Linked DNA regions of Macaca mulatta. The protein of the gene in region 6 interacts with the protein of the main gene of each other region in a pairwise test. Links are inferred from orthologs where the notes say so. Each region holds a gene or a part of one and is shown on either strand. Other genes may lie near its edges. The genes, in order: HSBP1, LENG1, PSMB1, FAM161A, PRKAA2, KIFC3 and ZBTB8A.

Region 1 (4,819 bases), about 26 Mb from region 6:
CCCTACCTATCGTAAAGATAAAAGCAAAGTTAAGAGTCTGTCTTCAATATCCCAAATCTGTATTTCGCATAACTTAAAATGTGGTCCAGAGCAAGCCCAGAAAATAGGAAACTAGGCATCTTTTACTGTATATTCTGCTTGGTACACTACCTATCTAAAAATACTCAGGATTTTGATTTATTTTTTTATTTTTTTTTTGAGACAGAGTCTTGCTCTATCACCCAGGCTGGAGTGCAGTAGCATGATCATGGCTCACTGCAAACTCTGCCTCCTGGGTTCAAAGGATTCTCCTGTCTCAGCCTGCCGAGTAGCTGGGATTACAGGCGTGCACCACCACGCCCATTTTTGTAGAGACAGGGTTTCACCATGTTGGCCAGGCTGGTCTCGAGCTCCTCACATCAAGTGATCTGCGCGCCTTTGCCTCCCAAAGTGCTGGGATTACAGGCATGAGCCACCACGTGCCAGCAACCGTTTTTTTTTTTGAGACGAATCTCACTCTGTCGCCCAGGCTGGAGTGCAGTGGCGCGATCTCAACTGCAACCTCTGCCTCCCTGGGTAACATTCATTTTTATAGAGAATTAAAACGTTATAAATGAAACATGAGAAAAGGGAGTTTAAAACTTATTTTTCACATATACAGAGGAAAAGGACTGTGCACTCAGTGCTGAGTGATAGTGTACATTTACCTATCTTGCTATTGGGTAGTTTTAATGGGCTTTCCTCTGACATCTGAAACTATTCAGTGGAAATTTAAATGAACTCCAGAGTAAAAGCTTAATGTGGCCACAATCTAGTTTACCAATGTCAAGTTACCAAGAAAGTCTCCAGAATTTAAGCCATTTAAGAAGGTGGTAATGTGGGCGACTTATCAGCGATCCCCTCCACCGCCCCCCGCCTCCCAAGAAAAGCAATGGAAAATCTTCCAGTGACAGGCTTTATAGGCCAACAAAAACCCCTTTATTAGCTGGAATGATAAAAACTCAGTGGTTATCTAATGTTAGCCAGTTGTCTTAACTAACAGTGACAGAAGTCTAATTAATAAAACCTGGGAAAATAAATTCAGTGTAAAGAATGAGTTTGGCATGAAAAATTCCAAAACATGAAGTCCACAGCGGGTAAAGAATACAGGGATGTTTGCTGGGATCATGGCTGGGAACTGATCTACAGAATGTCTGACTACATCAAAATTATATTTACAGGTTCTATTCTTTTAAGGGAAAAAAAAAAAAAAAAAAAGGCCGGGCACGGTGGCTCACACCTGTAATCCCAGTACTTCCAGAGGCTGAGGTGGGCGGATCACTTGAGGTCAGAATTCGAGACCAGCCTGACCAACATGGAGAAACCCCATCTCTACTAAGAATACAAAATTAGCTGGGCGTCGTGGCACAAGCCTGTAATCCCAGCTACTCGGGAGGCTGAGGCAGGAGAATCCCTTGAACCCAGGAGACAAAGGTTGTGGTGAGCCGAGATTGTGCCATTGCACTCCAGCCTGGGCAACAAGAGCAAAACTCCGTGTTAAAAAAAAAAAAAAAAAAAGAAAAGAAAAAAAGAAACGAAAAAAAAAATTGCCCCCTTCCTCACCTTCAACTCTTTTGTGTGGCAGGTATCTTGTTTTCACCTTCCAGTTCCTCCACCCCAGCCTGTGTCATGAGGTCTGCGATGTTCTTCTCCAGATCATCAATGCGACTACTCATATCATCAAGTGGTGAAGTTAAAGACAACGCGTGCCAACATCTCCTCATTGAGCCCTTTCCTTCCGTCCCTGTGGACTACGGCCTTAAACACAACGATTTTAGGGAAACCGGTCTTCCAATTTCCTTTAGACACTGTTACAGGCTGGTGGGTAAGAGTATAGGCCTCTGGGGCATGGCTACTCAGCATCGGTTTCCGGCCCTGACCCTTACTAGTGATGGAACCCCTAAACCTCAATTTATGCATTTGCTAAAGATGGTAACACTACAACCCACTCATAAGGTCATGCTGAGTATCAAAAGAAAGACACACACAAAAGCGCTTAGTTCACAGTCCATGGTCAACCACACCAGCTATTAGGATTGGTAGATGTACGCTCCTTGAGCCAGGGATCTGTCTAGCTCAGCTGTACCCCGAGCTCTCGGCGCAGTCCTTCTTGGAAACACAGTACAATCCAAGCTCAAATTCTGTAAGTGACTGGCTGAAGCTGGCCTGAAAACTACTCATTTATCCCCACCGCTGCCCGGCAAAGAGGCTCCAAAGGCCCACAGGAGGCCCACTACAGATAAAAAGGATATTTCTCCCAATGATCTGGTCAGACATGGTCTGAAATTTATCTTGCATCTGCTGCAGGAGTGTCTGCACCTAAGAAAAACCGAAACAAACAAACACGGTCCACACTGATCCTGAGACACCTTCCTGGGATCAGGACGTGAGCTCTGATCTCGGGTTCCAGCCCCATTTCTGCCTCTGGGCAGCTGTGCCGCCTTCAGCAAGGATCTTCCTTCTCGGGGCTTCCGTTTTCCCACCTGTCTAATTAGACTGGTGGGCTGGGGAGGCCGCTGCGACTCAAAGTTCAGGGTCTTTAGGCTGTTTCTGCCGGGCTGAGGCACCCAGGGGTGTGTAAGGAGTCGAAGGGCGGGGAGGGTGTCAGAGCGAGGCAGGAGGGACCCGGGGGGCGTTCGCGACAGGTGAATGGGGTTACCGGAGGGGGTCGGGCTTAGGAGCGCTCGCGGGTAGACGGGTCCGCACCGAGCGCCCAGGGGGTCAAGGTGGCCGGGAGCCTCGGCCAGAGACGCTTCCAGAAACCGGGCCTCGGCAGACGCCAAGCGCGGGTGCGGTGGGCGCGCCTCTGTCCAGCAGGGCCTGGCCCGGCGCCGCCCGAGAAGGCCGCGGCCTCGGGCCCTCACAGCCGTCCCTTACCACCGAGGTGAGGTCCTGCACGGTCTTGGGGTCAGTCTCGGCCATCTCCCCGACGCCCAGCTTGGCGGTTATGTCTCAGACCGTAACCTACACTTCCGTTTGTCGGCTCAGACGCCCCCGCCCGCTGCTTCTCGCGACGAGACTGGCTGCTCGCGGGACCGCGGGGCATTATGGGAGTAGTAGTTTCTCCCGCACCGGAAGGGCCTCGAGGCCGAGCGCTTCCGTTCCAAGGAGCGGCCCCACCCCACGCTCCCCGCCCTCTTTTGCATAGCCCCTCCCCTCCCCAGCGTGCCGTTGGTGGGGTGGGAAGTGAGACCAACTCAGAAATGGAGCAATAGAGGCAGGGAGTGGCCTTGGCCCCCATTCCAGGCTGTAGTCAGTCGAAAGACGGCTCTGGGTTTCTTTGGCCTGTCAGGACGAACTTACTGAACTTTTGTCCTTCAACAAGACCCACTATACCCTTGTAACTGCCCCCAAGTCAAGGAACATGAGCCCCCCGGAAGCCCCATGGCCCCTGTCCTGTCCTGTCCTGTCCTGTCATCTCCACCCTGAGGGTGGCCAGCGTCCGGAGTTTAACCCTGCAGGTTCATTGTGCCCGTCAGGTTCATATGAGGGGATTCAGACAGGAAGCTGTCCATCATGTCTGGCTTCTTGCACTCCACGCGATGCCTACTGTTGAGTGGGGAAGGCTTCCGGCATCAGGGTTAGACTGTGGGTTTGGGTGTTGAAGGAGGTGGGCACTGCTGAGGTGGAACCTCTAGTTCCAACCCCACAGATGGTCTTTAGGATTGGGTCTCAGGGCAAGGGGATAGGAGAGTCCTTGACTGCGGGCCTGGCAAGGAGATGTGTGAAAGTTCTGGAAACTTTCACACATCTCATTTAAGGACTGCTGTGTGTGAGGGTCAGCTCCAGTTTGAGTTTAGGTGGGGAGAGTCTGTAAGGGGTTAGACCTGTTACAGGAAAGGGTCCTGATCCAGACCCCAAGAGATGGGGTTCTTGGATCTCCTGCAAGAAAGAATTCAGGGCGAGTCTGTAAAGTGAAAGCAAGTTTAAGAAAGTGAAGGAATAAAAGAATGATTACTCCATAGACAGAGCCCCGAGGGCTGCTGGTTGCTCATTTTTATGGTTATTTCTTGATTGTATGCTAAACAAGGGGTGGGTGATTCATACCTCCCCTTTTTAGACCATATAGGGTAACTTCTTGATGTTGCCATGGCATTTGTATACTGTCATGGCGCTAATGGGAGTGTAGCAATGAGGACAAACAGGGTTCATTCTCATTGCCATCCTGGTTTTGGTGGGTTTTGGCCGGCTTCTTTACTGCAAGCTGTTTTATCAGCAAGGTCTTTATGACCTGTACCTTGTGCTGACCTCCTATCCCAATCCTGTGACTTACAATCCTTTTAACTGTCTGGGAATGCAGCCCAGTAGGTCTCAGCCTCAGTTTACCCAGCTCCTATTCGAGATGGAGTTGCTCTTGTTCAAACGCCTCTGTGAGACCCACCAGTGTCTCTAACAAACCTGGAATCCAGTTGGCCTTGAGGCATAAGACTCAACTCCCTTCACCACCCCTTCCCCCTCACTTACACCTTTGCGTCTCACCCTACACACCTCATCCTTCCCTACAGAGAGATCTTCCTTTCTGTGTAAGGATGCACAACTTTTTTTGTATTTGGCTGTTGTCAACTGGTGTTTGGCTAGTACTTCACCCGACTACTTGAAATAAACATACTCAGTGTTTTAACTTAATCCTCAGAAGACCCTGTGATATAATTATCATAATTTTACATTATTGAGAAAACAGACGCAGAGGCATTAAGAAACTGGAACAAGGTCATCAAATTAAGGAAGTAAGAGATGCAGGACTTCCTTTTTTCTCACCATTCTAGAATTCTCTGATTTTTTTGAGCTTAGAGCAGAGTTT
Region 2 (4,997 bases), on a different chromosome or scaffold from region 6:
AGCATCTGTGCCATCAGCCGTCAGAACGAGGGTGTCTTCTCATCACACAGCCTCTGGAAACCTGCACTATGTGCCTGAGAATGCGAGTGAAAAAGGCCAACAGTGTCAGGAAAATAGGCTTGATACCACGGCACCCCGGGAAAGGGTGGCAGGACCCCTGGGGCTTCCTGGACCACATGTTGAGAACCACTTCACCCAGCCAGCCCTTCACCGAGTCCCTGGTTGTCCTGACCAGAGACCCTGCAGTGCCCATGCTGGGCTGCTGCCAAGCCCTGAAAGTCTGGGCCCTGGTCTGCCGAGGAGGGTCTTCCTTCTTACTCCTTGGGTCGCAGCTTCTCAGACCCCTCCTTCTTTTCCTTTCTGCTGCAATTGCCTTCACCGCTGTGCCGTCTCTTCTTCCCCAGATGCTTCTGCATCTCCCGAAGAGGGTCCAGACGGCTCTTGATCTTCTCATCTGGGGCTGGGCCAGGAGGGGGCCCCCCTCGCTCTGGGGGTAGCTGGTACCAAGGGGGTTGAGTCTGTGCCTCCGCTGCACTCTGGCCCAGGTACGTCAGGATGCCCAGAGCTTTCTCTTGCCTCTCCTGAGGGGGCCAGGAAATACAAGAGATGGGATATAATCTTTCAAGGTGTCAGGTGTGTCTCCCTGACATAGGAATCTAAGCAAACAGGTACCTAAGGCTTGTCATGAACCAGTTGTACCAGGTGCTGGGGATGGAAGACACCAACAGAGGCCAAGTTCCCCGTGGGGGGACAGTGGCAGGTAACAGCAGGGGAAGGAGGGGACAAGTGGAGCCACTTGAGTGTTCAGAGGCAGGCATCTTTGCAGAGAGACTTGAAGAGAAGCCTGAAGGGATCAAGCAAAGCAGAGGAGCCATGGGTGGGGTCAGCAAGTCCAGAGACAGCAGGTGAGTGACAAGAGCTCATGTACCTGTTTTTTTTTGAGATGCAGTCTCGCTCTGTTGCCCAGGCTCGAGTGTAGTGGCACCATCTCGGCTCACTGCAACCTCTGCCTCCCAGGTTCAAGCAATCCTCCTGCCTCAGCCCCCCTAGTAGCTGGGATTACAGGCACGCACCACCATGCCCGGCTAATTTTTGTATTTTTAGTACAGACGGGGTTTTGCCATGTTTGGCCAGGCTGGTCTTGAACTCCTGACCTCAGGTGATCCATCCACCTTGGCCTCCCAATGTGCTGGGATTACAGGTGTGAGCCACCATGCACGACCAGACATACTTTTTACACTTGATCTTAGCCAAAAGGCAAGAGGCGAATGATTCGCCTTTTTTTTTTTTTCTCTTTTTTTTTTTGAGATGGGGTCTCGCTCTGTCACCTGGGCTGGAGTGCAGTGGCGCAATCTCAGCTCACTGCAACTTCCACCTCCCAGGTCAAGCGATTCTCCTGCTTCAGCCTCCAAGTAGCTGGATTACAGGCGTGCACCACCACACTTGGCTTATTTTTTTGTATTTTTAGAGATACCATGTTGACCAGGCTGGTCTTGAACTCCTGACCTCAGGTGATCCACCCGCCTCAGCCTCCCAAAGTGCTGGGATTACAGGCATGAGCCACAGCTGGCTGATTTACATTTTTAAAAGCCTATCAAGGTTTCAGACCCCTCCAGTTTTGAGAACTGAGCAGTTTGCCTAGCAGCTGGGGACCTCTAGCATCTACCTCCAAGCCCTGTGGGTGCCCAGATGGCAACACTTCTTAAGTGTCATGCTTTGGTATGGTTCTAAATTCTGTGTGTTCGTTCTCGTTTGACCTTGATCACAAGCAGTGGCTAAAGTGCCCTCTCCCCCCAACTCGATTCATGGCTCCTCTAATGAAGTGGGTGAGGCCAGCTTACTTTCTCCTGTCGCTTTTCTTCCTCGTACTCTTTATTGCCTCTGATCACTCCTTTCCCTTCCTCCAGCAGCTCCCGAAACAGGTCCACAGGGCCAGAACTTGGGGCTCCCGCCTCTGCTGCTTCAAGCTCAGGCAGTGAGTTCTGATGTCTGGCTTTCTTTCGTAGGAATTCTGTACGGGCCTGGGGAGAAAGTTATAGGCAGGGCATTCAGAACCTAGAGGTGATTCAAGAACTGTGAGTCTGGTGCCCACCACAGAAAATGGCAGTCCAGGGTGCTGGGGTTATAAGAAAGGGAGCACTAGACGCCTAAAAGAGGCACCTGTCCTAGCTGCGGGTGAGGGTAGGCAGATGAGGCAACGCCTGGGTTTTGTAAACTGCCTTTCAAATCGTAAACCACGGGTCATCAAGGATGGCTGGAAGGAGGTCCCTGGCCTAAACCAAAGGGGTTCCTAACCTCAAGTGAGACAATTAAAACAGCCATAAAGGTAGACCAAACTGCATTAGGCCAGACGATCTGAATTCTAGCCATGGCTCCAAGTCACTACCCCAAGTCGACTGCTGAAGCCCTGTCCCCCGCCTTCGGGACGCAGATTTCAAACAGCGCTCAGCAGCCTACTGAGATTCTAAAAACCCAGACTACCTCCCACCCACTGTGGAGGATCAGACTAGCTAAGGAACTGAAAGTTGGGTGTACACCAAACAGATTTAAGGAGCCATACAGAAAGCCCGTGTTTGTGTGTATGTGTCTAGGGGGCGGTGCAGGAAAGGGCTCGCCCGATGGCGTGGAGCCTGGCTGTCCCCCTCTCCTTAAATGTGCCTTCCCCTCACTGAAGCCATCTCACTCCGTGCAACGGAGATGACAGTGCCCCTCTAAGAACGAACAGTGCCTCCTGGGGATTCCGCAAGTCAGGCGCTCTGCATGTAGTTAGCATACAATAGGTGCTCAATAAATAAACTGCGCAGGCAAACTAAAACGTGATCCGAATTTCCTTGAACTGTCCAAGCGCTCATGTATTCATTAAATGTTTTTAAGCTGCTCTTTTGTGCTAGACACTGTTCCAGCCATGTGAAATACATCAGTGGGGGGAAACTAAGACGAAGGCGAGATCAAGGGAGGTTTCGTGGAAGTGGCCACAAGGTTTGCAGAGCAACGTCCTCGAAAACGGGATCGGCGCCTGGTCCCGAATTTCACACGGGGCACACTGAGCCTGCGCAACGCCTCCGCTTCCGGCCCCCAACCGCGGCGCGTGCGCGCTGGGCTCCGGCGGTCAGCCCGGCCGGCCTCCGAGCTTACCTCTTGCTGAGCCAGCAGCGCCCTCCGCTCACGCTCCTTCTCCTCCTCCCGGGCCTGGGCCTCGTCACGCCGCACGCGGGCGACATTGTCCTTATTCCGGACGTGCCAGCTCTTCTTGGGCAAGATATTCATGGCGTCGTAGCTGTCCAGGGACTGGCACGCCCGCCTCTTTGCACTTCCGATTGGCGAGAGGATGCCCCCCTTCCTCTTGTCCCTACTTCGACCGCAGATTGGTTCCGAATTAGTTGGTACGGCCCCCTGGCCTGTAACGACAGGTGATTGGCTGAGACGTCCTTTTCACAGCGAATGTTAGGCGTTCGGCTCGTGGTATCCCCTAGCAACCGCCTCTTATCACAGATCTGAACCAATCATAAGTTGGCCCGCCCCGATGCTACCACATGCGGCCGTCGATTGGTCGACATGACCGTCAAGTCTCCTTGCGGAAGTGCGCTCCGCACCGACAAACATGCCCATACATTTGATTGGCTCCTGCCCTGCGGTAGCCCTGCCCCCACCTTCAGGACGCAGATTTCAAAGCGCGCTCAGCAACCTCGGCTGTATTTATTGATACAAGAAAGATCACCCGAGAGTCAGGGACGTGGCGGCGAGGGGCCCTGGAAATCTCCAGATATCAAAGCTGGAAGGGCGTGGAGTCTTCTCCAGTTCTCCTAGTTTACAGATGTTGTGACCTAGGCTTACAATGGGCCTGGGGTCTGAAAGTGGGGCGTGAGCTGCGGGGGTCAAAGAGCCGGTTCGGTGGAGGTCAGCGCCACAGCGCGCCGTGCCAGGAAGACTTTATTCTGCGCCTCCTGCGGCAAAGAGAGGTGGAGGTGTGACAGCCCTCTTCCCCAGCCCCTCTCCGTGTTCCCCGGGGGCCCTCTCAGGGACCCGCCTGGCTCACCGTCTCCCTCTGACGTTTGAGCTCAGAGATGAGGCGTCCGTAGGAGTTAGCCCGAGCCACAGTGTACGCCATCAGGATGCTGGAGGAGACAGGAACGGAAGCCACTCCTGACACGCTCTTCGAAGTCAGGGATGTGGACCCCTAAGTCCCTCCTCGTCCAGGCTCAAGGAGTTCAGTCTCCCAGCACCTCCGCGTTCAGATCCAGGAGTCCTAAGTCCCGCCCACCTCCTCCTTCGGACCCAGCAGTCCAGGAGCCTAGGCCTCCTCCCTCAGACTCAGTACATTGCCTGCTCCCACCCCCAAGCCTTTCCTCTCTTGGACGCAGGTGGTGGCCCCCAGATCACACGCATTCAAACCCAGACCCAGAAGTCTGGTCCACCTCACCTGGAGATCAGCAGAAGGGGCGCAGCAAAAGCCTGGGTCCCCAGGAAGAAGAGGAAGTTCTGGGTGGTCTCAGGGAGGCTGGAAATAGACTCAGGGATCTGGGCCCAGATGGACGACTGCCCCCGGAATGGACCACACGGCTTAGAAGGCGGGATCCTGAAGTCAAGACAGGCTGGGTTCAAGTAGAGCCAGGAGTCTGAACACTGAATGGGGGGAGAGGGAGGGAGAGAGGCGGGAACCTCTCGCACTTACAGGAAGATGCTGTAAAGCAGGGGAACGCTGGAGATGGCCAGACCCAGGAGAAGAACCAAGGGGAAAAAGAAATTCGCCGTGGAGGCCCGGAAGGTGCGGGCAGCCGGAGAGCAGGTGGAGAAGAGGGTAAGCTGGTGGGGGTAAGGCACGGAGAAAGGGGATCTGAAACACAAGAATCTGTGCCTCTTTTTTTTTTTTTTTTTGAGACAGTCTCGCTCTGTGGCCCAGGCGAGAGTGCAGTGGCGCTCACTGCAGCCTCCCCTCCTGGGTTCAAGCTATTCTCGTGTCTCAGCCTCCCAAGTAGCTGGGATTACAGGTGTGCACC
Region 3 (3,959 bases), on a different chromosome or scaffold from region 6:
AAGTATTTTAAAGGAGAGCAGAGGAGGCCGGGCACGGTGGCTCACACCTGTAATCCCAGCACTTTGGGAGGCTGAGGCGGGCAAATTGCCTGAGGTCAAGAGTTCGAGACCAGCCTGGCCAACATGGTGAAACCCCATCTCTACTAAAAATAGAAAAGTTAGCCAGGCATGGTGGCAGGCACCTGTAATCCCAGCTGCTCGGGAGGCTAAGGCAGAAAGCTTGAACCCAGGAGGCGGAGGTTGCAGTGAGCCAAGATTGCACCACTGCACTCCGGCCTGGGTGACAGAGTGAGACTCTGTCTCAAAAAATAATAATAAAAAAGGAGAAGAGGAGATTGAGGGGAATAATTAGCTTGCTTTTTGTTTTGTTAGCTGTCTCGAGTTATTGTGAGAGCAGAAAAACCAGTTAGAAATATTTTACCGAAGAAGCCAGAATTGAGGGACTCATGAGAGGCAGAACTGGAAAACCAGATTTGGGAGTTATCCTCCCAGCGATGAGACATGAAAGAGTGCTGAGTGATAAACAAGGGGGCCAATGACTTGTTTAACTACATTTAAAGACAGAGTAGAAAAAGAGAATGAGGCCTCATTTTGTGGAAGCAAAGGCTGCCTGAAAGTCAGCTGCAGTAAACACTAAAGAAAAAGAACAATGACTGAGAAAAAGTAATCAGAAAGTTCTAAGTAATTTTTAGGGCAGTAATGGCTTAAACTGGATTACTAGGGATTAAAAAGTGAGTAATGAGTAGGGCATACTGAACACTGAAAATTCTTATTTATAGAGAATAGCGTTATGAAATGGGTCTAATAACCCTCCCTACAATGTACAACTTAATTAGTCATCACAGGAAGTGTTAAGGAGTATAATGGAAAAGCATGAATAAACTCAGTGGTGAAATAGCTAAGTCCTGGCTCAACTTCACACCAGCTCTCTGACCCTGACAGTTTAATGTCTAATATGACCCTAGGATGCTAACATCATCGAACATTCACTTTTCATGATGATTAAATAAGATGACGGCTTGCAATTTACCAAATACATCTCTCTCGATTCTCACCAAAAACTATGAAGCTACTAATGAAGAAAATTTAGGTTCAAGAAGTTCAGAAGTAACCAAAGACCTGACTGTCCTTTAGTGGCAGAACTAAGACTAAAATCAGACTTTCATTGTCTTTCTAACACACTCCAAAAATATGCATTAATATTTCAAATTTATGAGGAACCAATTAACATTTTTGCTTTGTTTTTAAAATTTATTTTTGTAGAGATGGGGTCTTGCTATGTTGCGCAGGCTGGTCTTGAACTCCTGGCCTCAAGCGATAATCCTCCTGCCTTAGCGTCCCAAAGTCCTGGGATTACAGGTGCGAGCTACAGTGCCCAGCCAATACTTTTTGTTTTCTTTAAGAACCATCGGTTCATTCAAATTGAATGTATATATTTTAATGTACAAGGCTTGATTAGTAACTATAACCACTGCTTCAATTTACAGCTCTTCCCTGTCAAGAGTCTTAAACAAAGCATCTTTCTATAACCCTGTATCTCTGGCGTGCCACCACGGAAAATTATATTACTCAAGATAAAGTTGGTAATTGAAATAAAAACCAAAACTTGAACACAACATACAAGATCACACATATTAAAAGGTCCATCTTCTGAGTATTTTGTTTTCCTGAACTTAAGCTAAACGTTTAAAAAAAAAAAAAAAAAAAAAAAAAAAAAAAAAAAAAGCCGGGCGCGGTGGCTCATGCCTGTAATCCCAGCACTTTGGGAGGCTGAGGCGGGCGGATCACGAGGTCAGGAGATCGAGACCATCCTGGCTAATACGGTGAAACCCCGTCTCTACTAAAAACACAAAAAATTAGCCGGCCGTGGTGGCGGGCGCCTGTAGTCCCAGTTACTTGGGAGGCTGAGGCAGGAGAATGGCGTGAACCCGGGAGGCGGAACTTGCAGGGAGCTGAGATCAGGTCACTGCACTCCAGCCTGGGCAACAGAGTGAGACTCCTCCTGACAAAGAAAAAAAAAGCACTTATCTATGAAACTAAGTTTGCTCAACCAATCCCACCTTCTATTTGAAATAAAATGATCAAACTGCTACAATTAGAAATAACAGAAATCAGGCGGCTACAATTAAGACGTTTCCGCTACCAACCCAGCTACGCATCTAACAACACAGACCAAACAATCCTAACTTTTAAGTTTCAGACGCTAAACCTCTACCCTCGCCTGCTGGCATAAGGAACGTGTACATGAGGTCCAGTTTGGTCTTCCACAGAGCAGAGGCTATGTTTCAATTTCTACTTTACCGTCGTACAGCAGCAAGGAGCATGGAGTTCCGGTCCACATAAAAACCCAAATGACAGGGCTGTAATGGGAAACCCTAAAAACCAAGGCTGTATCGCAATCACCAAGTAAACTTGACCAAAGCGAGCCTGAAGAAGGAAACACAGGGCATGAGAGGACGGCAGGGAGACCGGCCTTGTGCGGACCCACTCAGCTCAGGGTTCTGAGGCCTGCAGGGGACCGGGGCAGCGCCTTGACGGCGGTGACTCCTAAACAGGCTTCAGCAAATGGGGGAAGGGCGAAAGTGAAAGCGGAGCTCTCTGGGGTTTTTACCCTCCGTTGAAAGCGTAGGGTGAAAATCGCAGCTGCAAAGGGCCCGCGGCTCCGTGCGGCTCCATCCCCAAGTCTCTGCCAGGAGCCGAATACATGGCTACGGAGGACAACATCGCACGGCTGCGCCTGCAGCTCCAGCTCCGACACCTGCTGTCTCACGGCGAGATGGCTGCCTTGACCGGACGTTACGCCACTTCCGGCTTCTCCTGAAGTTCGCTCCCGGCCTCTCTATCTTGCGCTAGTCGTTGCTCCTGGAGGGCTGCAGGGCGGCCTGTCCCTTTGGTAGTTGGGTCCCGCCCATTCCAAAAAAGCTGACAGAAAAGTAAAGGTTTCCCGCCCCCCGTCGAAGAAAACATTGGAATTCACCCCAATGGACGAAAATTTAAGTCTGACCATACAAAAACATTGGCAGAACTATGGCGCAACGCCAACTCGAATAACGGTGAGCGCGTTAATTGTCCTGGCTAATAAAAAATGTATATAACATTTCCTATCCTTAAAGAGCTCACAACCTCACTGATAATAAAGAGTACAAAGAAAACGAGCAGTATAACATGTGACTACGCCACAATGAACTACAGAAGGGAAAATCAGTTCCCACTAAGTTCTAGTCCCACTAAGAAACAACTGCGGATAGAGCCTTGTGACCACAGTGCATGAAACGGGAGTGGCAGAACTGAATATAAATGCGTGTGTAAACACAAGCCGTTTGTTTTGCTTAGTGTTCCTTGTCATTCTACACCCTTGAAGATCAGCTAGCGTTCTTGCACAGGTAAGGAGCACGCGCTTACTGAGTGCCAAGTACTGTCAGTCTCTGTCAATCTCCCGACAGCCCAACGGTAAGCACTATTATCACTATTCAATTTTACAGAAGAAACTGCGGGGGAGAGGTCAGGTAACTTGCCAAAGGTAACACCGCTAGTTGCTTTAAACCACCACCACAACAACAAAACACACACACATATAACCATTTAAAAATCGATCTGTCCTATGTCCAGCAAGGGCCAATTAGAGACGGCTGTGGCACGGCGGCCCCGCCCCGGAACTCCTCAAGAGCTTCGCCCCTCCTTACCTTAAGCTCCGCGCCTATGGAAACACAGGAAGTGACCTATGCCCACACTTCCCAGGGCCTCGGCCCTAGTGGGAGCAACTCGCTGAAGCCGAGGGCAGAGCTGGCGGAAGTGACATTATCAACGCGCGCCAGGAGTTCAGTGAGGTCAGGCAGGTTCGCTGTGGCGGGCGCCTGGGCCGCCGGCTGTGAAACTTCGTTTCCTCTGGCCCATGGTCATCTTTGCAGTGACCCAGGTAACAGCTTGTACTCTTTTCTGAGGGTTCGGGCGGAGGCGAC
Region 4 (4,198 bases), on a different chromosome or scaffold from region 6:
ATTACAGGCACACAAAACCATGCCCGGCTAATTTTTGTATTTTCAGTAGAGATGAGGTTTCAGCATGTTGGCCAGGCTGGTCTCGAACCCCTGACCTCAGGTGATCCACCTGCCTCGGCCTCCCAAAATGCTGGCTGGGATTACAGGCATGAGCCATAGCACCTGGCATACCCTTGTAACAAACCTGCACATGTACCCCTTGAATTTAAAATAAAAGTTGAAAAAAATTAAAATAAGAAAAACCCAGAAGCAGTGTAAAAAGCAAAAACAAAAAACTTGCAGTTCAAAGCTGGAGATAATGTCTTCGGGCAAAAGCCAATCACTTTATGATTATAATGTATAACAGCTTAAAATGATTTTTCCCCCTAAAGTTGAAATAAAGATGTTAAAAAAATCCATCCCTTAAAATGAAAGGCATTACATAAAATTATATCTAGATCAGTGAGCAAAAAGATTATGTAACTTTGAGAGACTGTAACGTGCAGATTCACTCACAATACATGTCCACTGTCCTCACTGAGTCACTGACAAGTACAGTTCTGTAACCATGCTCATCTGTTACAGGTAAATTCTCCAACTGTCTATTGTCCAATTATAACAGCTTCAAATTCACAATTTAGAACCTGCAACCTCCAGTGATTTTGTCAATTGTTAAGCCATGTCACCCATACAGATGCCTCCCCTATGGGATAAAGGAGAAGATGACCTAAAATGAACAAATCTCCCTTAAGGGAAAGATTATAAAACTGGGCATAAACTGAGTAAACTCAGGGTCTACTGTCTGTAAGGCTAGTTTGTTTTTCTTATAGAAAGGAAGTTTTTTTAGTAATTGCAGAGAAGAGTGAATTACAAACTCACTTAAAAAAAAACTGGCAGAAATAACTCTGATTCAATTAGCCATTTTGTTTCATTTTTTTAATTCTTCAAAGACCTCCAAGTGATATCATGAAGCCTCATCTTAATATCTAACCAAGTTTGTACTGAAAAAAGACTAGCCATTAGAAAACAGCTTGCAAAATTATTTTACAAACTACTGGATTGGCATGTTATTTATCAAACTTATGTGCTTCATCAAAAAGATTCAATGTTCAGATTATTTTTTTGAGATGAGGTCTTGCTACGTTGCACAGGTTGGACCAAAACTCTTGGGCTCAAGCAATTTGCCCACCTCAGCCTCCCAAGTAGCTGGGACTACAGGTGCACACCACCACACTTGGTTAAATGCTCGGATTTAAGCAAAATTACTCATTGGCTGATATGATGAAGCCAACATAAACAGCAATAATGTATCCCAACAGTTATATAACACATAAGAAAAATGGACTGTAAATTTAGGAGCTAAAGCTGTAAAAAAACAACAACAACAACAACAACAACAACAACTGACAATAGCTCTTAAATTCCAATAAACACAACCTGAGCAACTCTTTCAAATAGCAGTGGCCTCTTTTTTAATTTTTCTTCTCTTTCTTCTAGTTCTCGTTGGTATTCTCTCATCCTTTCCTTTTCGCTCTTTCTAAAATTAAATAAAAGCAATGGAATTTTTTAAAAGATCATCTAAGAAATAAGAACTTACATATGTAACATTTAACTTATCAACCTCTACAAAGTCAATGAAAAAAAAAAAAGAAATAACATTTAGCTTAGCTGACAAATCAGAAATTATGAGCACAGTTCACAGTTTACCTCGATTCCTCTTCTGTACTGGTTAATTCTCACGGAATGCAGAATAAAATCCTAGGTTCTGAGACCACACATATTATGCTCTAGGAATAGTCTGAACACTTTAATTTCTGAAATCCCCAAGGCATACATATGTTAAGGGACTTCAAACTGACCTGAAGAGATGAATGAAAGCCCTCTTGTCTCATTTATAAGTGTATAAAACCAAGAACATTTTGGAACAAATCAGCTATCTTCTCTGTAAGGAATTTCTTCCGAAAACAAGACCTTGGCCGGGCGCGGTGGCTCAAGCCTGTAATCCCAGCACTTTGGGAGGCCGAGACGGGTGGATCACGAGGTCAGGATATCGAGACCATCCTGGCTAACACGGTGAAACCCCATCTCTACTAAAAAATACAAAAAACTAGCCGGGCGAGGTGGCGGGCGCCTGTAGTCCCAGCTACTCGGGAGGCTGAGGCAGGAGAATGGCGTAAACCCGGGAGGTGGAGGTTGCAGTGAGCTGAGATCCGGCCACTGCACCCCAGCCTGGGCGACAGAGCAAGACTCCGTCTCAAAAAAAAAAAAAAAAAAAAAAAAAAAAGAAAACAAGACCTTGCTCTTATTTATTATTTTATTGTTGTTATTTGTTTTTTGTTTTGAGACAGAGTCTCATTCTGTTGTTCAGGCTGGCACAGTGGCGCCATCTCAGCTCACTGCAACCTCCACCTCCTGGGTTCATGCAATTCTCATGCCTCAGCCTTCTGAGTAGCTGAGATTACAGGCGTGCACCGCCATGCCTGGCTAATTTTCTGTATTTTTAGTAGAGACGAGGGTTTCACCATGTTGGCCAGGCTGGTCTCGAACTCCTGACCTCAGGTGATTTGCCTGTCTCGGCCTTTCCAAGTGCTGGGATTACAGGCATGAGCCATCGCGTCCGGCCTATTATTTTTGAGACAGGTTCTTGCTCTGCTGCGCAGGCTGGAGTGCAGTGGTACAATCATGGCTGACTGCAGCTTCAACTTCCTGGGCTCAGATGATCCTCCCACCTTAGCCTCTCGAGTAGGTGGGACTACAGGTGCATGCCACCACACCTGGCTAATGTTTTAAAATTTTTTGTAGAAATGGGGGTCTTATTATGTTTACCAGGCTGGTCTCAAACTCCTGGGTTCAAGCAATCTTCCTGCCTTGGATTCCCAAGGCGCTGGGATTATAGATGTGAGCCATGGCATCCAGCCTTTGCTGTTATTTTTTCCCCCTAAATAAGATCTCCTACAGGTTAGTGGCAAAGTTAATTCAATGGGAGCAAGTCAAAGGAGAAATAAAGCGCATGGAAACATAACATAAAGAGAAACAGGAACCAAAATATATAAATTTACCGTAAGTGTTCTCACTATTTGGGCAAGGTCCTATAATAAATTAAACTACACTATTTAATTGCTACCAAGATAATAAAATTAATGGATTGGGGAAAACAATTATACTTCCAAATAATTAGGCTTAATTATACACAAGTTGGGGTTATGAAAAAGCTATCGTCCGGGTGCGGTGGCTCACGCCTGTAATCCCAGCATTTTGGGAGGCCGAGGTTGGCGGATCACCTGAGGTCAGGAGTTTGAGACCAGCCTGGCCAACATGGTAAAACCACATCTCTACTAAAAAAAAAAAACATTAGCTGGGCGTGGTGGTGAGTGCCTGTAATCCCAGCTACTCTGTAGGCTGAGGCAGGAGAATCGCTTGATCTCCTGGGCGATCCAGCCTGGGCGACAGAGCAAGACTCTGTCTCAAAAAAAAAAAAAAGCTATTAATAGTTTACTTCCTGAGGGTAAGTAATCTATTTCTAAGAAACATTATGCTCAAGTTAACCAAATTAAGCTCCCTTTGTCAATGGATTAATGCTAAATTATAAAAGAATACTCATTGTAATTAAAAGCACATATGTATATTTAGAAATCAGATTAAAAAGTAATAAATCATATTACTTACCTGGCTTTGAGGGAGATATTTTCCTACTTAAACATCAACATTTTTATGTGCAACATCTGGAACACTGGTTTTCAAACTTTGTACTGCAGAATTCTAGTGAAGGGGTTCTAAGGATTCCGTGAATATTTTTATTTTTATATTGAAATTAACAAAATGCAACACATACTACTAAACATTAACATATGTGCTAATGAACACATCACATAATGGATGTTTAATGTGTTAATTTGTGCTATCAGATTTCATCCAAACCTTAGAACAAAGCTCTTTGATATATCAGTTTACTGCAATCAAAAATAATATAAAGAACAAGATTAGATACTGGTATAAGATTATAACTATTAACTAAGGCCACAATAGAAAATGTTTGTATTCCTCAACATAGCTTCATGGTTCTTACCATGAAAGTGAGTATATATGTTGGTTCTCACCATGAGGTGAGTGTGTGTGTGCTGAACATAAGTAACTGATGACAATTTAAATCCATAAGCTAAAACACTAATGCCATTTTCAATCTGCTCATATTTTACTATCTACTGATTAAAAAAAAAAA
Region 5 (2,853 bases), on a different chromosome or scaffold from region 6:
ACAATGCAAACTCCTAATTCAAAGAATATTTAAAGATAGACACACTTGTTTTCCACTAACACAGGAGTAACTTAGTCTAATATTCTCATTTGCTTCTTGGTAGAACATACATTACTTTTGTCAAAGAGAAACCTGTCAAGGTAATGTAATTTTTTTGTTTTCAAGAGCTTAATGTTTTTTAGGGTAATCCAGGTAAATAAGTGTTAATTACAACATAAAAATAACAAATAAATACAAATTAGATAAATTACACATAATTTAAAATTAAATACTTTTACTAAAACAAAACAAAATATAATCATAAACTATTATCTACCCTGCTATAGTTTGTGTTTTTTTAATCTTAAAAAAACCTGCACAAAGCAAAACAAAACAAAACAAAAACTGGTTTTTGCTTAAAAGCACTGGTGTGTGAATACACATATTTATTTATTGAAGAGAAAAATTTTTTCTTGATGTTCAAAGCTTCCCTGCCCTATCAGGTTCAACAGTGAAGGTCATAGCCTATCAAGCTTTGGAAGTGTACGAAAGCCCTTAGGGCCAGAAGAGTGTTTTCAAACTTGGAACTAGAAAAGATTCAAAGCTGTACCCACCAACCACTGAGGATCAAACAATGAACAAAGACAAGAGTGACTAGGATAGGTGGGGTGAAGGGAGTGGCTTGCCATGAAGAATCAGCATTATGAGATGCACCAGGACCCTAACATCTAACACACAAAATAAAGATCAAAGATAATTCTCATTTAAGGGACTGTTGATACCTTGCTTTTTTTCATTTAACTATTTTATCACTGTTTGGTGAAATGCAAAAATAAATAGAGCCAAAAGAATTTGAGAAAGGTAGGTTTTGAAGACATTTTTTAAAAGATGTAAGTATATGTAAAAGACAAAAGTTGTTGCAATTCCAGGTGTTCCAATACTAATTTGAAACTCGAATGCTCTTAAGATAAATATATTATTCAGGGAAATCTCAAGATAAAATACTGAGTCAGTTACAGCTGCTTTTAAGAAACCTGAAAATTGTGGTTACCTGTGACATGACCACAGTCCTTCTGTTGAATATACTAGGCAGTATTTGTAAAAATACTGTTAAAAGAACTTGGCTTCTGAAACCTTGGGGGCAGGTTTTTAAGATTTCAACATTTAAATAATATCTTACTCGTGGTTCTTTTACTTTTTAATCTTCTTTTGTTAAAATAAATTGGGGGCATAAACACAGCATAAAGCCTACTGAAATTTAGGAAGTAAACTGGATTTACCTACACCAAACAGTAAAGCAAGGAGGTGTTGCCAAACCACCCTTACATTGAGATGGTTCGCCAGTGTGGTGTGTTAATCATCCGTAGTGAACTCATTATTGTAATTAAAAATCTTCATCGATATTAACCTATTAAAGATACTGCCTATGTGAATTTATCATAGGCACAATAGAATTACAGATTTCTACAAGTAAATAAGATGTCAGATATTTTGTTTTCAGTAATTTCAATAGCATTGTGTGTCCCCTGGATATAATTCATGTCTCTCAATTAGTATTGCAGTGGATATTATCCAAAAGTAAGATAAAAATTTAAAGAATATATCTGATTTTCATAGTGCAATAACAGAAAGAAACTAGAGACAGATCAACGGGCTAAAGTAGTAATCAGACTGGCACACATTTCAAAAAAATCCATGGTGTGACTGCCCAGGCGAGGTGAAACTGAAGACAATGTGCTTCCGATCAAAGAGCCAGTGAGAGAGCCAGAAAGTGAATGGCTCTCTGCAGTTGTGGAATCAAAACTTGATCTTGGTCTGTGTAAGCCAGCAGCAGAACAGGAACGCTGAGGTGTTGAGGAACCAGACCTCTGCTCCACTACTTCATCTGAAATGGACCAAAGAAGAGCAATTTATATGAAAAGTATATATGCCCAAGCCCTTCCTATGAATTTATGATATTCAGAATATTAAGTAAACACATCTGAGCAAAGGCAACTTAATAATGAATGTCATGTTTCAGTGTTTTAGAAGCACAGTTCTCTTCCTTCCAACAATCATAACAAACATCGCTACCAATCACAACACGTGCACACAGCCAAAATGTGGCCTCTAAGTCCTTCTCAAATCGGAGTATTGGGCATTGATACTGGCATCAATCAAACTGATATCTCTTCATGTGAAGAAAGCGTATCCTTGACAACTTATTTTCTTCTAGCATATCAACAAAAAAAATCATTAAGGTAAAAATAAAAGTTACCATCATATATTGCCTTGGGGAAGTGGGGGGCAAAGTGAGAGAAATCTTGTTAAAACTGCAGATTCTACGATTCCCAGGACCAAAACACAGGGATCTGTGTTTTAATAACAACATGTAATTTCGATGAAAGAGGTCTGGGATCCATATAAACACTACCGTACATATTTGATGGTAGTTCAAGAGTAAAATTTAAATACTTTGTTTAAAACAACTTCCCTAACTCTAAACTCAGTTCCATTTTTGTTCCATCCAGCACCTGACCCTCAGTTTATTCTGGTTTTATCCCACTTGGGCCTCTGAAATGAATAATCAGATTTGGTTTACCCAAGTTTAATTCTTAGCACACACTAAGTTCTTGGACATGACAATTTTCCCTGATGCCTCTGGCTCCTTGATTGCCATGAGTACCTAAATCCAACCCAAATCCCAATGGAGACCTATTTGGTCACCCTGGCCACCCAGGATGAGGAAAGGTGATGAAGGGGAAAGTTTAGACACTACAATACTAACTAATAAAATATGAATGGAGAAATGTGACAAAGAATCTGACAAATCAGTTAATTTTAAAAAGTGAAACCTACTTCCCTATTGTTCCTTACTTGTGCTCCATGGCCAAT
Region 6 (4,198 bases):
CCTTGGGGATGGGGAGGAAAGGTCAGTTGTGGGGCTCAGGCACTGCACCCAGTCAGGATGAGACGCCAGAACGGATACTCTCTTTTCCTCCCTGGACTTCAGTTTCTTCATCTAGACAATGAGGGGCTTGGGCCCCAGTGAGCAAAGAGCCTTCTGAATGGCAGGACAGGGCTTAGGAATCAGATGGGCATATAGGCCTGGCAGCAGGTGATGACTGATGGTGTATCTGAGGGCCCAGATAGTGGGGCAGCCACAAGGGTATCTGGCAGCATGAGCTGGTCATGCCACCATCTACTTCCAGCCTTCGTTGGGATTCCTGTGTTCTTGTAATGAAGAGGAAACATCCCCCACTTCCAGCATGGCCCACCTGCCCTCCCTTTTCACCCATCTGTTCCAGCTCACCATCCAGGTCTCAGCTCTAACTTTGCCTTCTCTGGGAAGCCCCTCAACACATTTGCCTGTCCCATACCCAGGAGAGCCTGTCTCAGCCCTGGAAAGGGGCAGGGTTGGGGTTCCCTGACAATCACCATTGTCCATTCTCATACTAAAGTGAGCACCGGGAGGCAGTCTGTGGGGCCATGACCATAGCCTCGGGCTGGAACGGCACCTGGCACAGAGCAGGCACTCTAGAGCTCCATGCAGTGCATGGTGGAGTCTCAAGCTTGACCAGGCCCCAGGTCAGAACAAGTGGCTTTCCAGCTGCCAACAACCCAGTGCTGCAGTACCACACCCCTCGGCCATCCAGGGCCTGGGGAGTCACCTGCCCAAGCACTGGGGCCAGGGCTTCTGAGCTGGACAGACTCAAGTTCAAATCCAAGGCGGACCATTTAATATCCCTGTGGCTTTGAGCAAGTTCCCTGCCTTCTCTGTGCCTCTGTTTCCTTATCTACAGAGATGGGATTAGAATAGCGCCTCAACGGTGGGGTGAGCTCCAGGCATGACTGCCAAGCCAGGTCGAGGCCCCGAGGCTGGTGTCCACCCCCAGCCCTCCTGCAGTCACCTTTCAGCCGCACGAGCTCGTTGTGGCACTTCTTGCGCAGCTGCAGCTCACGGCGGTACTTGCGCAGCAGCTCCTGGTTGTTGCTGTTGACCTCCTCGATGGCCTGGCCTATCTGGTGGGGGGTGCACACCACTGTCAGGGGGTCAGCTCCATCAGCCTTGCTGGCCCAACTGCCCACCCCTGAGGGGTGCTCACTGCCTCCTGCCCCTGGCTGAGTACCTGACACACACTATCACATGTCAGACTATCGCAATCACCCCTCTGGGTAGGTACTGCTGCCATCCCCATTTTACAGATGATGAAACTGAGCCCCAGAGACTCTAAGCTGACAGCTCAAGGCTGCTCTGCTAATAAGCATAGAGCCAGGACTCAGCCTCCACACCATAGCATGAGTGCTTGACTGTGATTCAACCAGACTCAAATTCCAGCTCTGCCCCTGAGTAGCTGGGGATCTGAGACTGCTGACTCAATGTCTTTAAGCCTCAATTTTCACATCTGGAAAACAGGGATAATACCATCTAAATCATGAATCTATAAAGATCTCCCAGTTACATTTCACAGGGGGAAAGAAGATGCAAAATCACACATACAGTATCCCGCTGTATACAGAATCACACGTCCCCTTTCTGGGGTAGAAGGAAAGTGTATACAGTGTATACAGTCGTCCCTTGGTAACCATGGAGGATATAAAACTCCACAGATGCTCAAGCCCCAGATATAAAATGATATAGTGTTTGCCTGTAACCTACACATATCCTCCCATATACTTTACTTTTTTGAGACAGGGTCTTGCTCTGTTGCCCAGGCTGGAGTGCAATCACAGCTCCGTGGACGTGGTGGAAACTCACCATGAATGGTGTTATCTTGGCTCACTGTAGCCTCGACTTCCCAGGCCCAAGCGATCCTCCCACCTCAGCCTCCAGAGTAGCTGGGACTACAGGTGCAGGACACTGCACTCAGCTAGTTTTTTTATTTTTGTAGAGATGGGGTCCCACCATGTTGTCCAGACTTGTCTTGAACTCCTGGGCTCAAGTGCTCCTCCTGCCTCAGCCTCCTGAAGTGTTATGATTACAGGCATGAGCCACTGTGCCCAGCCCCGCCCATGTCCTTTAAATCATCTCCAGGTTACTTACAATACCTAATACAATGAAAATGCCAGGTAGGGGCTGGGTGCGGTGGCTCATGCCTGTAATCCCAGCACTTGGGGAGGTCAAGGTGAGCAGATCACCTGAGGTCAGGAGTTCAAAACCAGCCTGGCCAACATGGTGAAGTCCTGCCTCTATTAAAAATACAAATCAACAACAACAACAAAAAAACCTAGCTGGGCATGGTGGCATGTGCCTGTAATCCCAGCTACTGAGGAGGCTGAGGCAGGAGAGTCACTTGAACCCGGGAGGTAGAGGTTGCAGTAAGCTGAGATCCCGCCATTGCACTCCAGCCTGGGCAACAAGAGCGAAACACTGTCTCAAAAAAAAAAAAAAAAAATGCTGTGTAAATAGTTGTTATATGTTATTTTTACTTCTATTATTTTTAAATGTTGTACTGTTATTTTTAATCTTTTTCAAATATTTTTGATCTGTGGTTGTTTGAATCTGGGAGCGCAGAACCTGTGAGTGGGGGAAGGGCCTACCATATATTCACACACACACATATCAATTGGCTTAAGCATGCTCAGAATGGTCAGGGAGAAATGCTGAGAGGCCACACTGGGGGAGTTGGGTGGGTGGCAGAGAGGCCTTTCCTATTCACCTGATGCCCCGCTATGGAGTTTGACTTTTCACCATGTCCACGTATTATTGACATACTCTTTTAAAGAAGAACTATAGCCGGGCGCGGTGGCTCACGCCTGTAATCCCAGCACTTTGGGAGGCCGAGGCGGGCGGATCACAAGGTCAGGAGATCGAGACCACGGTGAAACCCCGTCTCTACTAAAAATACAAAAAATTAGCCGGGCGCGGTTGTGGGCGCCTGTAGTCCTAGCTACTCGGGAGGCTGAGGCAGGAGAATGGCGTGAACCCGGGAGGCGGAGCTTGCAGTGAGCCAAGATCGCGCCACTGCACTCCAGCCTGGGCGACAGAGCAAGACTCCGTCTCAAAAAAAAAAAAAAAAAAAAGAAGAACTATATTTTGTTCCCAAAATATATTAGTCTTTGCAAAGCTATCATACAAATTCAAGGAGCTAACGGCTATAAACAGCTCGACATGTAGGAGGCACTTAAGAGGCACTGGCTATTCTCATATATACAAGTACAGCTTGAAAGAATTAAGTTAAACCTAACAGAGATAAGACTGTATCGGCCAGTCATGGTGGCTCACACCAATAATCTCAGCACTGTGGGAGGCCAAGGCAGGAGGACTGCTTGAAGCCAGGAGTTCAAGACCAGCCTGGGCAACATAATGAACCCTGTCTCTAATAAATAATTTTTTTAAAAATATGTATGTAGCATGTTTTTTGTTTTTGAGATAGAGTCTCGCTGTCACCCAGGCTAGAGTGCAGTGGCACGATCTTGGTTCACTGCAACCTCCACCTCCCGGGTTCAAGTGATTCTCCTGCCTCAGCCTCCTCAGTAACTGGAATTAACAGGCACCTGCCACCATGCCCAGCTAATTTTTGTGATTTTAGTAGAGACGGAGTTTCGCCATGTTGGCCAGACTGGTCTCAAACTCCTGACCTTGTGATCCGCCCGCCTTGTCCTCCCAAAGTGTTGGAATTACAGGTGTGAGCCAACGCGCCTGGCCTGCATGTTTGAAATATGAAGTTATCTGTAACATGTTTGGTTTAAAGAATCATAGTAAGACAAATAGCCGAATGCCTGCCCTAAGCAGTCTAGTTTCAAACAGGGCCTATAAGGGCAGCAGTAAGTCATGATGGGTGGGGCAGGGGCTGCTGTCTGAGGGGCTTTGTCTGAGCTTTGGAGGGGAGCCCTGGGTGGATGTTGTGCCTCTCCCAGTGCGCTCCCTCACCCTGGACCCTCCCACCCACTGCCCTCGCTCACCTCGGCCTTGACACTCCTGAGGGCCTCCTGCAGCAGCAGCGGGAAGCCGCGCACCTGCCGCTTGAGCCCGTTGTAGTCGTTGGTGAGGGTCCGCAGTGCTGGCTGCAGGGTCAGCAGGTTGGTCCGGACGCCTATGGGGACACTTGGGCTGTGAGGCGGGAGGGGATGAGAGGCCGCGGTGTGGGGTAGACAGGGCCCCAGTC
Region 7 (4,727 bases), on a different chromosome or scaffold from region 6:
GATCAAGACCATCCTGGCTAACACGGTGAAACCCCATCTCTACTAAAAAATACAAAAAAATTAGCCAGGCGTGGTGGTGGGCACCTGTAGCCCCAGCTACTGGAGAGGCTGAAGCAGGAGAATGGCGTGAACCCGGGAGGCGGAGCTTGCAGTGAGTCGAGATAGCGCCACTGCACTCCAGCCTGGGCGACAGAGCAAGACTCTGTCTCAAAAAAAAAAAAAAAAAAAAAAAACTCATCCCTATTGCAACAGTATCACCTTTAGGAGGTGATTGGGCCACGAAGGCTCTGCCCTCATGGATGGAATTAACGCCCTTATAAAAGGACCTGAGGGAGTGAGTTTGGCCCCTCTTGCCCTTCTATCCCTTCTGCCACGTGAAGACACAGCAGTCCTCCCATCCAGAGGATGCAGCAACGCGGTGCCATCTTGGAAGCAAAGAGCAGCCCTCACTAGGCACCAAACTGCCTGGACTTCCCAGCCTCCAGAAGTGTGAGAAATAAATTTCTGTTCTGTGTAATTACCCAGTCCCAAAGTATTTTTATAGCTGCACAAATGGCATGAGACAGAAAAGATTTAGAATAAAAACACTTAAGAGAATCAAAACTATAGTTGGGGAAAGCCTCATTGAGAAGATGGTATTTGGGTAAAGTCCAAAGGAAGTAAGAGTCATGTGGGTGTCTGGGGAAACAGTATTTCAGGCAAAGGGAAAAGCAAGCGCAAAGGCCCTGAGGTGAGCAGCGGGGAAGCAATGGGATATGGAGTCAGAAAGGGAAAGCAAATCATGAGAGAAGTAGGACATAGTGAGACCAGATGCTGTAAGGCTGCATAGACTATTATGGAGCTTTTGGCTTTTAAACTGCGTAAGATGGGGAACCACTGACCAATTTTGAGCACAAAAGTAACAAAAGCTTCATTCAAGGGAATCAAACACATCAAATCCTTTAAATATGATTAACATATCATTGTGTCACTGAGTTAAATCTATTAGACATAGTTGTATCTAAAAATTAGATTTAAATGATACAGGATGAATCAATATTACTCTATCTTACAAAGTTTTTCATGGCCTCAAATCATTATCAACAGCAAAGCTGGTGATTTCAGGGCTTGGAGATAAGGGTTAGTGGCTTGGCCTCCTTCCTGGAGTCCCTACTCATTATGCCTCCTGCTGACATTTTTGAGCACAATCCACCCAGACACCCATTTGGTCAAGGGCCCTAAGCCAGATTCTCACTTCCCAGTTGCCACTTGTGTGGCCAGAGAGGTTCCCAGGAATAAAGACATCTGATCCCTGCTTATCAGTGAGGGGCTCTTGCTCCAGTCCACAAATGCATCCATACCTGAGGCATGGAGGAGATTAAGACTGGAGCAGAAGCTTGCTGGGGATTTTGGAGGCGTTCCTGAAAAAGATCAGTTAAGGTTTTCAGTGCAGGGAAGCGCTGTGTAAGATTGGCCCTTCTAAAGACTCCTCTGGAGGTACCTTAGGAGGGAAGGCAGGACGGGAACAGGAGGTCCTGGGTGGCTATGTCACCCTGGCCTAGAGGTGAAACGCCATGCTTCACACGTGTTCCCTCATTTGCAAAGTGGAATTACCGTCAGCCTAAGTGGTTGTTTTATGTGAAATTAAGTGAAATAATTCATATAGGTGAAAGCACTCCATTTAAAGTTGTGCAAATATAGAGGTTTATCAAGCATAGTGATACTGACGTGTGGTTAGAAGCCCACCAGGTGTGTGTGTAAATCTACCGCTTCCAAACGCGTCTCAGAATGATGTGGAGTAGGGCCATTGGAACAATCAGCGATAAATAAGCGCATCTGAAGGGGAAGGGAACAAGCCGCTGACTAACTCACAAAAGAGGCGGTCAGCATGGGTAGAGATGAGCATGTACGGTTCCGTCCAGAAGCAAATAGTTGGAGCTCAACATTGGTTAGGCGCGGTGAGTTAGCCCTCGGTTTTCTAAGCCCAGATGTCGCATCTTGACATAAAACCAAGGATGGAGGCTGTACCGAGAAATTCGGGCTACTGCCCTGGGAGCCAGGCTCACCGGCAGCGCCCCTGGCCGCGCCCGCAGAGGCTCCGGCTCCGGCCCCGGCCCTGCCCTCCTCGCGCGCCCCCCCGGCGGCCGCCCGTTTTTGCGCCGCGCAGCCCGAGCCCCTCCGGAGTCCGCGGCGCTCGACGGCTCCAGACACGCCCGGCGCCGTCCCCGCCGCCTTCCCGCCGCCGCCGCCAGGAGGCTCCGCGCGCCTTCCCGCCTTTCCCCGGGCCGGGCCGGGCGGCTAGGCGGGCGCGGGCGGCGACGGCGCGGCCATTGTCCCGCAGCCCCTCCCGGGCGCGCAGGAGGGGCCGGCCTGGCGGGCTGGGCGGCGCGGCCGGGCGCGGGGAGGGGCGGCCGGGAGCCGGTGCCCACCAACGCCCGCCGCCGCCCCGGGCTCGGCCCGCCGCCGCCGCCCGCGCGTCCTCCGTGGCCGCCCACAGCCCCTCGGAGCCGGCGCCGCCGCCGCCGCCGCCGCTGCGCCCCGGGCTGCAAATGGCGCCCGCTCGCCTCGGCGCCTCCCGCCGCGCTCCCGGCCCGGGGACGTCTTGGTGAGGCGCGCCCAGGGCCCGCATCTCAGCACCGCCGCCGCCCGGGCCGTGAGAGCCCGCGGCGCCTCCGCCCGCGGCCAGGCTCGCGGCGGGTCCCGGGCAGCCCCGACGCCCGCCCGCCCTCCGCCGGCGCCGCGCGCCGCCACTTACCGCGGGCCGCGGCGCACCGGCCGGTCGCGCGCGCGGGCCGGGGGAAGATTCTTGGTTCTCGGCTGGGGAAGGACCCCCTTTCGAGGCCGTTCCTTTGCGCCCTAAAACAAGTAGCCCCAACGTGAGAGAAACAAAAGGTATTTGCTGACGTGGGCGTTGGACAGAAACGCCCGAGGGCTGGGGACACAATTAAAGGGGCAACGCACAGATTTCAGGCACCAACCAGCAGCTTCGCCCACTCCCCCTGCCCTTGCCCACACCCGCTGCACGCTCCAGAGGCACCGGGGTGCCCAGATTCTCTAGCAGTTGACTGCGGATCATGATTTTAGTCAGGAGCTGAAATTTAAAATTGTACTTTACGTTGGGAAAGGCGCCTCCGGAGGGCAGAAGGGCTGGATTTCTAGGATCTGGGGAATTTGGTTTAGGAAAGAGGGAGGGACTTAGGCGTGCCCACAATTACTGTATAAGTACATGTGACATTATTGTACTTAAGTTTAGCAACGTCAAATGCAAAAGATTTCCACAGAGTTTTCTCTTGTATTGAAGCAGTTGTTTTAGTTGAGGATAACCTTTTCTAAACCTCTACAGGTCAGAAGCATTTCATTTGAAGAGGAAAACCCAGAGAAGCTAAGAGAACATAATTCCTAGTTTAAGTCCAGAGAAATACAAAATTAGTAAAAACAGCAAGTTCCGTCTTTTCCAATACAAGCATTCATTGTATACCAAGCTTCCTCTGACAAATTTACATCTCTAATATTTAGAGTACAGATATCAGGTTATACATTTGCTAAAATAGTAAATCAGTGGATTTTCACTGTTACTATAGATGCATTACTTCTATAAATTAGTTTCCTAGTTCCTTATGCTGGGGTCAGGTACTGAAAAGTACTGTGTTATAGTAAAACTGGAGGAAAAAGGTTCAAATTATCAAAACTTGGGTTTAGCTTTTAATGGATTCCTCTCCTGTTCATAATCAGTCATATTGGACAGTCTGTAACTTTGATTTCAGGAATAATTATGCATTTTGAGGATGCAAGATCTTCACAATTGTCTCTTAATGTCACTTCTGTGTCACTGCAGAGGTGCTTTGCTATTTAGTTGTGTTTCCTTGCCTTCTGAACAGGTAAGTAGAAACATATTTGAAAACCATTAGGTATCAGGTATATTGGATGTACTCAGATTACTCTGCTAGCGCCCCCCATTGAGAATTCCCCCAGAAAGACCTGGACATGGTTATAGCCAAAGGTTTGATTTTAGCCTTAATTAAAGATTAATGCAAAAGAGTTCCACAAACTTATTCCTCAAGAGAGCACATCAGGTTGGTGATAAACTCTTAGTTGTGGCCGGGCGCGGTGGCTCTTGCCTGTAATCTCAGCACTTTGGTAGGCCAAGGCAGGCGGATCACGAGGTCAGGAGTTCGAGACCAGCCTGGCCAACATGGTGCAACCCTTCTACTAAATATAAAAAGTAGCTGGGCATAGTGGTGCGTGCCTGTAATCCGAGCTACTGGGGCAGCTGAACCAGGAGAATGGCTTGAATCCAGGAGGTGGAGGTTGCAGTGAGCCGAGATCGTGCCACCGCACTCCAGCATGGGTGACAGAGCAAGACTCCATCTCAAACAAACAAACAAACAAACAAAAAACTTTGTTGCAAGGAAGAGGTAATGACAGTTTTGTCCCTCATCTTCATTCTGCTAGCTTTGGGAGCTTGTTTCTCTATGTTGGGGCTCCATCATTAACCAGTGCTAGTCTCTTAAACTCTGACTGCCACCCTACCCCACCCCCATCCCTGTTTCCACCTCTTCAGTTCAAATCTTGAGGAAGATAATCCATTCCAATTTTTTTTTTTTTTTTTTTTTTTTTTTTTTTTGAGACAGAGTCTCCCTCTGTTGCCCAGGCTGGAGTACAGTGGCAGGATCTCGGCTCACTGCAACCTCCACCTCCCAGGTTCAAACAATTCTCTGCCTCAGCCTCCTGAGTAGCTGGAATTACAG

The links.
Region 1: the proteins of KIFC3 (region 6) and HSBP1 interact in binary tests that used the Homo sapiens proteins (3 or more experiments, as listed by UniProt). The two-hybrid records come from large-scale screens. The link is inferred for Macaca mulatta from reciprocal best matches to the Homo sapiens genes KIFC3 and HSBP1.
Region 2: the proteins of KIFC3 (region 6) and LENG1 interact in binary tests that used the Homo sapiens proteins (3 or more experiments, as listed by UniProt). The two-hybrid records come from large-scale screens. The link is inferred for Macaca mulatta from reciprocal best matches to the Homo sapiens genes KIFC3 and LENG1.
Region 3: the proteins of KIFC3 (region 6) and PSMB1 interact in binary tests that used the Homo sapiens proteins (3 or more experiments, as listed by UniProt). The two-hybrid records come from large-scale screens. The link is inferred for Macaca mulatta from reciprocal best matches to the Homo sapiens genes KIFC3 and PSMB1.
Region 4: the proteins of KIFC3 (region 6) and FAM161A interact in binary tests that used the Homo sapiens proteins (3 or more experiments, as listed by UniProt). The link is inferred for Macaca mulatta from reciprocal best matches to the Homo sapiens genes KIFC3 and FAM161A.
Region 5: the proteins of KIFC3 (region 6) and PRKAA2 interact in binary tests that used the Homo sapiens proteins (3 or more experiments, as listed by UniProt). The two-hybrid records come from large-scale screens. The link is inferred for Macaca mulatta from reciprocal best matches to the Homo sapiens genes KIFC3 and PRKAA2.
Region 7: the proteins of KIFC3 (region 6) and ZBTB8A interact in binary tests that used the Homo sapiens proteins (3 or more experiments, as listed by UniProt). The two-hybrid records come from large-scale screens. The link is inferred for Macaca mulatta from reciprocal best matches to the Homo sapiens genes KIFC3 and ZBTB8A.

Annotation. Positions count from the first base shown.
Region 1 is NC_133425.1:79,174,220-79,179,038, reverse strand, and holds the start of HSBP1 (heat shock factor-binding protein 1), read right to left. Parts: upstream 3,027-4,819; 5' UTR 2,941-3,026; coding exon 2,896-2,940; intron 2,338-2,895; coding exon 2,271-2,337; intron 1,703-2,270; coding exon 1,584-1,702; 3' UTR 1,582-1,583; exon of another isoform or gene 1,408-1,581; intron 312-1,407; exon of another isoform or gene 1-311. UniProt on the Homo sapiens protein: Negative regulator of the heat shock response. Negatively affects HSF1 DNA-binding activity. May have a role in the suppression of the activation of the stress response during the aging process.
Region 2 is NC_133424.1:66,390,798-66,395,794, forward strand, and holds the start of LENG1 (leukocyte receptor cluster member 1), read right to left. Parts: upstream 3,291-4,997; 5' UTR 3,268-3,290; coding exon 3,136-3,267; intron 2,022-3,135; coding exon 1,842-2,021; intron 582-1,841; coding exon 319-581; intron 75-318; exon of another isoform or gene 1-74. Other genes in the region: voltage-gated chloride channel TMC4, read right to left, coding at 3,876-3,944, 4,037-4,115, 4,421-4,576, 4,673-4,803.
Region 3 is NC_133409.1:1,497,375-1,501,333, reverse strand, and holds the start of PSMB1 (proteasome subunit beta type-1), read right to left. Parts: upstream 2,801-3,959; 5' UTR 2,725-2,800; coding exon 2,612-2,724; intron 1-2,611. UniProt on the Homo sapiens protein: Non-catalytic component of the 20S core proteasome complex involved in the proteolytic degradation of most intracellular proteins. This complex plays numerous essential roles within the cell by associating with different regulatory particles.
Region 4 is NC_133418.1:62,899,834-62,904,031, reverse strand, and holds part of FAM161A (protein FAM161A), read right to left. Parts: intron 1,517-4,198; coding exon 1,417-1,516; intron 1-1,416. UniProt on the Homo sapiens protein: Involved in ciliogenesis.
Region 5 is NC_133406.1:183,917,959-183,920,811, forward strand, and holds part of PRKAA2 (5'-AMP-activated protein kinase catalytic subunit alpha-2), read right to left. Parts: intron 1,865-2,853; coding exon 1,626-1,864; 3' UTR 1-1,625. UniProt on the Homo sapiens protein: Catalytic subunit of AMP-activated protein kinase (AMPK), an energy sensor protein kinase that plays a key role in regulating cellular energy metabolism.
Region 6 is NC_133425.1:53,376,779-53,380,976, forward strand, and holds part of KIFC3 (kinesin-like protein KIFC3), read right to left. Parts: intron 4,127-4,198; coding exon 3,996-4,126; intron 1,113-3,995; coding exon 1,001-1,112; intron 1-1,000. UniProt on the Homo sapiens protein: Minus-end microtubule-dependent motor protein. Involved in apically targeted transport. Required for zonula adherens maintenance.
Region 7 is NC_133406.1:208,334,460-208,339,186, forward strand, and holds the start of ZBTB8A (zinc finger and BTB domain-containing protein 8A), read right to left. Parts: upstream 3,161-4,727; 5' UTR 3,095-3,160; intron 2,878-3,094; exon of another isoform or gene 2,836-2,877; 5' UTR 2,735-2,835; intron 1-2,734. UniProt on the Homo sapiens protein: May be involved in transcriptional regulation.